Linked DNA regions of Caenorhabditis elegans. Each later gene encodes a partner of the first gene's protein in a complex. Each region holds a gene or a part of one and is shown in the gene's direction. Other genes may lie near its edges.

Region 1 (3,316 bases):
CGTGTCGATTTGACCGCCGGTACTCCTCGAATGCGACTTTACATTGCGCTGATGCTTCAAAAAATCTGGAATCACGAGCCAATGTATACGGTAGCCGAACGATTTGGCGTGGAGAAGGGATGGCTTCAGGCGACACTGCAGTCATCGATTTCACAGGCCGCGTCAATTGCTAAATTTTCAGAGGTAATTGGAAAAAAAAGATCATTTTCGGTAGTTTTCGTAAAGAAATTTGGGTTTTCCATTAAATTTCCGTCAATTTGAAACCCATATTGACTGTATTTCGGCTAATTGAAGATTCCGACAAAAAAGGCAACAAAAAATATTTAGCAGACCAATGGGAAAATATTTAGCAGACCCATGGGTATGCTAAATATTTAGCAGACCAATGGGAAAATATTTAGCAGACCCATGGGTATGCTAAATATTTAGCAGATCATAGTTGGTTCTGCTAATAATTAGCAGACCATACTTGAGTCTGCTAAATATTTAGCAGACCATACTTGGGTCTGCTAATAATTAGCAGACCCATGTGAAAATATTTAGCAGACCCATGAGTATGCTAAATATTTAGCAGACCAATGGGAAAATAATTAGCAGACCCATGGGTATGCTAAATATTTAGCAGATCATAGTTGGTTCTGCTAAATATTTAGCAGACCATACTTGGGTCTGCTAATAATTAGCAGACCAATGGGAAAATATTTAGCAGACCAATGGGTATGCTAAATATTTAGCAGACCAATGGGAAAATATTTAGCAGACCCATGGGTATGCTAAATATTTAGCAGACCATACTTGGGTCTGCTAAATATTTAGCAGACCATACTTGGGTCTGCTAATAATTAGCAGACCCATGTGAAAATAATTAGCAGACCCATGGGTATGCTAAATATTTAGCAGACCAATGGGAAAATATTTAGCAGACCAATGAGTATACTAAATATTTAGCAGACCAATGGGAAAATATTTAGCAGACCCATGGGTATGCTAAATATTTAGCAAACCATACTTGGGTCTGCTAAATATTTAGCAGACCATACTTGGGTCTGCTAATAATTAGCAGACCCATGTGAAAATAATTAGCAGACCCATGGGTATGCTAAATATTTAGCAGACCATAGTTGGTTCTGCTAATAATTAGCAGACCATACTTGGGTCTGCTAAATATTTAGCAGACCATACTTGGGTCTGCTAATAATTAGCAGACCCTTTCAAAAATACGGTTAATTTTCAATAATAAATGGTAGAAAACCAAACTAAATAACGTTTCTGCAATTTTTCAGAAAATCACCACGATGTGGCCTCTACGAAAACTACTTCCTGAACTTGTTCAACGACTTTCTGAAGCTGCCCAGCCGGAACTTTTACCGTTAATGACAGTTGATGGAATCAAGAAAGCACGGGCCGCAATTTTATTCAAAGCTGGTTATAAAACCGTTGGAATGGTGAGAAATTCGAATTGTGGTTCTGCAAATCAATTAATTTTTCTCAGATTGCAAGAGCAAATCCACTGAAACTAGTTCAAGAGCTCGGCACAATTCGGATGGCTCAAGCGAATTCAATCATCGCCAGCGCACGAATGGTACTACGCGATCAAGTTGATGAGAAAATGGAAGAACTCGACGTTTGGGGCGTCGCAACCGATAGTTTTAATTATTTTTAAAAGATTTTTGTCCAATAGAGCGTGCTATCATTATATGTATTTTTTAAATTTTTTTCTCTTTTTTCTCAATTTTTCTTCGGATCTCTTGTTTTATAATTAGGTTTTTTAAATTTCATTTTCTTTTTCATTTTTTTACGGTTTTGAACAGAAACATATATCACTTTTTGGAAAGTTGATTAATTTTATATTCTCTAATTTAACTGGTTGTTATTTACCAGGGTTATATCTAATTTTCTCCAAAATTTCAATTTTTTCTCCATTTTCAACCACATTTTACAGAAAGCCATGGTGAACGTGAAGAAGGGAGTGTTGGTGACGAGTGATCCGGCTTTTCGTCAACTTCTGATCCATTTGGACGACTCCAGACAGCTCGGATCCAAGTTCATTGTCAGGGTAAGGGATTATAGGTCTGCTAAATATTTTGCAATGTTTTTTCGAATTTTTTTTTGTTAAATTTTTACAATTTTTCCAATTTTTTTGGCAAAACATTCAAATTAAAAAGAAAGAATATTTGGAAAATTCGGAATAAAAAAAAATATTGGTACGATATAAAACATTGCAGAAATTCAACATTTTTTGAATTTTTCAATTAAAATTTTTGCGATTTTTTTAAAAATTTAATACTTTTAATTTTCTGGAATTTTTAAAACATAAAAAAAAACGTAGCACTTTCAAACATGAAATTTCAATTATAGGAACTCGACGATACGCATTTGTTCATCGAAAAGGAGATCGTTCCAATGCTGGAGAACAAGGTGGAACAAATCATGGAAAATATGAATCCGGAGGCTGTTGACAAATAAATCAAGCTAATTTCATCTGAAAATAACTAAAAATTCGTATATTTTGTTCTTAAACCCCATTTAAATAAATAAACAATTAATTTCTCAACAGGCTTCATGTTTTAGGCGATTTGGAATCATTATTTTTTTCTGTGTAGGGAAAAAACCTTTTGATCTGCAAACTTGAAACTTTTCAACTTGTCCTTTTTTTTTATTTGGGCAAAAAAAATTTTTTCGGAAAAGGTACAAAACTATTAGAAATTGAAAAAGGCAATTTTATAGTGTCAGAAAATCAATTTTGAGTCCTCTAACTCTAAAACTAACCATTTTAGAGGAGTTTCAAAATTGTGAATTTTTGCCAAAAATTGTCATTTTTGCCACTTTCTGATAGTTTTCGAAGGGTTAAACCTAGATTTTCTGAATGCAGCATACATGAATTACCCGTTTCTAACAAAACTAGACAACTTTTTATTTTTGCCCAATTTTTTTCAGCCATCTAATCCGTCCTTTTTTACTGCCTTTTTTTTCATTTGGGCAAAAAAAAAATTTTTTCGGAAAATGTACGAAAGTATTAGATTTGTTAAGCATTTTCAGTTCCTGAAACATCTGGACTAATACTTTTCACTTTTCTTTATTTTATTTGTACAAAAAAACAAAAAAAAAAAATATGAAAATTTGACAATTATTCGGGAGAAGGCAAACAAGTCTTGAAATAAAATGTCTGAGAATGTGTGGAGGGGTTGTTGGGGCGAGGGGGAAAACCAAGATTTGACCCGTAATTCACTGTTTATTTTTTGAAAATTTGCAAATTTCAAAAAATCTAGGCACTTGTGCCACGTGGCGCAAGATGCAACGCATCGAGTTTCGCATT
Region 2 (4,391 bases), 9.5 Mb from region 1:
CTGTTTTCGGCACAAAAGAATTCATGAGAAATTATCGATTTTTAGGTAAAATTTTATTCCATTTTTCGAACCGGAAAACGGTCTGAAAAATTTAAAAACGGTGTTTCAAATAATTTATTAAAGAAAAACAGAAAATCTCAATTAATATAGCTGGAAATCACGAAAATATCAACAAAAACAATTTTCAGGTGTCTGTGGTAGCCGAAACAGTAAACGTGACAGGACAAACAAATGTTTCTCAACTTTTCAAAGTTCCACCATGCCGACTAGCAGATGATATGTACGGATTATTCGACAACAAACAGTTCTCCGATTTCACATTGGTCTGCAAATCCGATCTAGGAAGTCCAACACAGACTTTTCACATTCACAAGGCAATTCTTGCTGCCCGGTCGCGAGTTTTCTCGGCAATGTTCGAGCATCATATGCAGGAATCTGACACGAATATGACAACGGTTGATGATATTGAGCCAGAAGTTATGCGTGAGCTTCTTGTCTACATGTATACAGGACAGACAAAATACATTGAACAAATGGCTCAAAGTTTGATTGCAGCTGCTGATAAATATCAATTAGATCGACTGAAAGTACGGTTTAGTTCTATTAACAGAGCAATCAGAATTTCAAAAAATCCGCATTTTAAATGAATTTTCAATTTCCATCAATTTAATTTACCTAGACTGACTTTTTCTCGAAAAATGCATTAAAAACTGTACTGCGAAATTGCTCTGGCTAGCATTTATTTCTAAATTTTTTTTTTTTTAAATTCAAAATTTTCAGGTAATGTGCGAACAAGCCCTCTGTTATCAACTGACAACGGATAATGCTAGTTTGACACTGATGCTTGCTGATATGTACTCGGCATCTCAGCTCAGAGCTCACTCTATCAACTTTATCAATGTTAATGCAAATGAGGTGAGTGTGTGACGAATAAATAATTTTAATTTTCATAGTTTTGCTCTTCAGGTAATGGACACAGAAGGCTGGGAAGACCTCGTTCGAGACCATCCCAAACTATTGGAAGAAGTCTTTAGAGCACTAGCAACTCAGCAAACTCCTCCCGTAGTGCTTGTACAGCCACCCAAGAAACGGCCGAAACACAATTGTCCATATTGATTTGTCATCGAAATGTCTTGAATCTCTATCCCCCCCCCATACTTGAATTGTAGTCATCTATGATTGATGCCCTCACAAGGCATCATGTCACAATACGACGGGTTTCTTCCTGTATGTTTCTGTATTTTTTTTTCTTTTTATTTCTTGAATTCGCTAAATTTTCTATTTCTGTGTCCTTTTTATTTGAATGCCCCTCGAACTTCATAGTCTACTGGTTTCCCATTTTTCGCACCCATCTGGAAGTGGCTTTTATTATGTGCTTAAAAAGAAAATTTAAAAAACAAATAATAATCGTCGTCATTTGTTGCATTGTTTTGTTTTTTTTTCAGATTAAATTTAAATCTGATGAAATTATTATCAGTGTGGATTCCTATAAGTGCGCGCCGGATTCAAGGTGAAAAGTATTACTAGGTTTCAGATAAATATGGATGATGATGAGCAGAAGGGTTACACCTGGGAAGCAGGATATGCAGAAGGTTTGGAAATTTAATTTTAACAATATTTTCAGAAAATGTCTAAAAAAATCAAAAATTAAACAGCGAAAAACGAAAATTAAAGGAGAAAAAATGGTAAAAACATTATTTTTCAAAATATCGGAAAACATTTTAATACCCAAAAAACTAGAATTGAAAAATCTTGTTTTTGCTAAAGAATTTCAATCATTTTCCGTAGCTTTTCGATAAAAAACGTATATTTTATTTAAGGTTAAAATTACATTACTCTTTAAAGGTTCACACATTTTAAAATTTAACAAAAAATTGATGTGTCGAGACTTTGGACTGTATTTTTGACCCAAAAATTACAAAACTTTTGTTTCCGAGTAATATCACCACTTATTCAATAAATTTATGAAATATAAGCCATTATCAGTTAAATTTCAGGCCTGAACATCAATGATGTCCTTGTGGAAGATGAAGGTGGATCTATCGAAAAATCAATTGCCAAATACGTGGCTGATAGCAAACGAAAAGCCCGATTGACGAAGAGACCGGAACGGATTCGCCTCGGAATTGTAACACAATAAAATGAAATCAATTACAAAATTGCAATTCCAAATTAATTTCAGATGCGCCACGTCATGATTGTCATCGATTGCTCACGATTCATGACGAGCAAGGCAATGCCTCCATCGAGATTTGTAGTTGTTATGAAGGTTAGAAAAACGATTTATTTGACATGTATTTGAATGTTTCCAGGCTCTACAAACCTTCCTGGACAGATTCTTCGAGCAAAATCCAATTGCTCAGATTGGATTGATCACTTGTAAAGATCGTAAAGCAGATCGGTTGACAATGATGACAGGTTAGACTCAATATTCGAGATTTTCAATTTTTTTTTCAACGGATTTCAGGAAATATTCGTGTGCTAAAAGAATCGCTGAACACACTAACTGAAGCTTTCTGTGGTGGCGATTTTTCTCTTCAAAACGCTCTTCAATTAGCTTGTGCCAACCTGAAGTAAGTTAAAAATCGTTTTCAGAATATAAAATATTGATTTTTAGAGGAATGCCGGGTCATGTATCACGAGAAGTTGTTCTCGTTATATCAGCACTTTCAACAATTGATCCTGGAAATATTTACAGCACTATTGAGGTTATTTGACTAAAAAAGTAGATTTTTCTAATCTGTAACATTTTCAAGACAATGAAGCGAATGAATATTCGTTGTTCTGCTATTGGACTGTCTGCTGAAATGTTCGTTTGCAAGGAAATGGCTAAAGCAACGAAAGGTGATTTTTATTTTATTCTTTAAAATAAACTTTTCCAAAATAATGATTTACAGGAGAATATTCCGTAGCTCTTGACCCTGACCATCTGCAACTTTTATTCTCAAAGCATACACTCCCACCGTCCTCAGCAAAATCGAGTGAATGCAACGCAATTCATGTTGGATTTCCACACCACGAGCTGATTACAACAAGATCGTTTTGTGTTTGGTGAGGTTTTTTTAAATGAACTTCTTTTAAAGCTAATTTTTGCTAATTCAGTCATCCTGACACGAAGCCAATCTCATCTCGTGGATTCATTTGTACACAGTGCGGAGCACGTCACTGCTCGATTCCAGCTGAATGCCCGGTTTGCAAACTTACACTTGTCGCAGCTCCACAGCTTGCTCGAGCGTTTCGACATCTTCAGCCGCTGTCAGCTTTTGAGCAAATTGAAGTGACACGAGGGTACGTCAGATTTAAGAAAAAAATATATAAGACAATTAAGATATTCAGATTCTGCTACGCATGTGAAACTCGTCTATCTGGTGAAGGTTTTCGCTGTGGTAGTTGCCAGCTTGTGTTTTGTCTCGATTGTGATACTCTTCTTCACGAGTCTCTACACGTATGCCCCGGATGCAACTGATATCTCTTTTTTTAAATTACTCACGTTCTCTCACTTTTCGGACGGGTTTTATTTCATCTTTTTTATAAAAATTCTAAAATAAATCGATCGGCTCCGTAAATCTACATTTCAAGGTGCGTGCCCATCTTCCAGTCGTGGGTCTCGAAACGAAAATTGAACAAGCGGGTATTCGGGCGCCAATTACACTGTTAAAATTAATTTTTATCTTAAATACATAGCTTTCTTCGTTGTTTTTTTGCTTCATTTGGTCAATTTTTGTACAATTTAGATGAACACACCGGTAAAAGCAAAACGGCAAAGGCAGCAAATGCCAGGAACTCCGATACCCATGGGTCGGCAAACGCACAGGGCACATTCCGCCTCTGGTATGTTTTATCAATAAAAGATTTAGCGGAATCTCTAATTCTTTATATTTCAGGTTTCTACACTCCTCACGTCTCAAAATTGAAGACAAACTATGACAGAGAGTTTCAAAAGTTTCTTCGATCTGCCAAAACCGCAATCGATCACTTGGATAGTGAGTTTGAATTTTTTCTGAAATTTTCAATTTATACTTTTGTTTTTCAGAGATTGAAATGCAAATACTTTGCCCGCTGAAAAAGAAGATAAAACGTTTTCACAAGGAATCCAACACTCTCGATGTCTACTTCAGGTCACAAACATATTGGAGATCCTTCTACAAAGAGCTTATGAACCGCAGCGATGATGTCATGGATTGCTTTCGATTCGAGGATCTCCGTGACGTTGCTGCAGTTGTTGAGAGTCATCGATTGCCGGATGTGTTGGTTTCATTTGTCACGCAGCAGTTGATGGAATGGAGAGAATTGTTCAAAGACGTCGAGTGGTAAGCTGTTGTTGATAACGAATATAAATATAATTACTAAATGTTGCAGGATGCGAAAGTTTCGTGAATTGAGCCACAATA

Evidence for each region.
Region 2: gtf-2H5 (region 1) and gtf-2H2C share a complex: the UniProt entries of both Caenorhabditis elegans proteins name them as parts of the 7-subunit TFIIH core complex.

What each region holds. Positions count from the first base shown.
Region 1 is NC_003281.10:576,194-579,509, reverse strand, and holds gtf-2H5 (General transcription and DNA repair factor IIH subunit TFB5), read left to right. Parts: upstream 1-1,942; 5' UTR 1,943-1,948; coding exon 1,949-2,056; intron 2,057-2,358; coding exon 2,359-2,466; 3' UTR 2,467-2,564; downstream 2,565-3,316. Other genes in the region: helq-1 (Helicase POLQ-like), read left to right, coding at 1-183, 1,284-1,445, 1,493-1,663; B0353.1 (ASD2 domain-containing protein), read right to left, coding at 3,266-3,316. UniProt on the Caenorhabditis elegans protein: Component of the general transcription and DNA repair factor IIH (TFIIH) core complex, which is involved in general and transcription-coupled nucleotide excision repair (NER) of damaged DNA and in RNA transcription by RNA polymerase II.
Region 2 is NC_003281.10:10,087,929-10,092,319, reverse strand, and holds gtf-2H2C (General transcription factor IIH subunit 2), read left to right. Parts: upstream 1-1,534; 5' UTR 1,535-1,540; coding exon 1,541-1,592; intron 1,593-1,997; coding exon 1,998-2,128; intron 2,129-2,182; coding exon 2,183-2,269; intron 2,270-2,312; coding exon 2,313-2,418; intron 2,419-2,467; coding exon 2,468-2,573; intron 2,574-2,617; coding exon 2,618-2,708; intron 2,709-2,756; coding exon 2,757-2,844; intron 2,845-2,897; coding exon 2,898-3,051; intron 3,052-3,102; coding exon 3,103-3,288; intron 3,289-3,336; coding exon 3,337-3,466; 3' UTR 3,467-3,563; downstream 3,564-4,391. Other genes in the region: spop-1 (Speckle-type POZ protein homolog), read left to right, coding at 189-587, 781-915, 967-1,116; hal-2 (Coiled-coil domain-containing protein), read left to right, coding at 3,735-3,831, 3,885-3,983, 4,034-4,310, 4,360-4,391. UniProt on the Caenorhabditis elegans protein: Component of the general transcription and DNA repair factor IIH (TFIIH) core complex, which is involved in general and transcription-coupled nucleotide excision repair (NER) of damaged DNA and, when complexed to CAK, in RNA transcription by RNA polymerase II.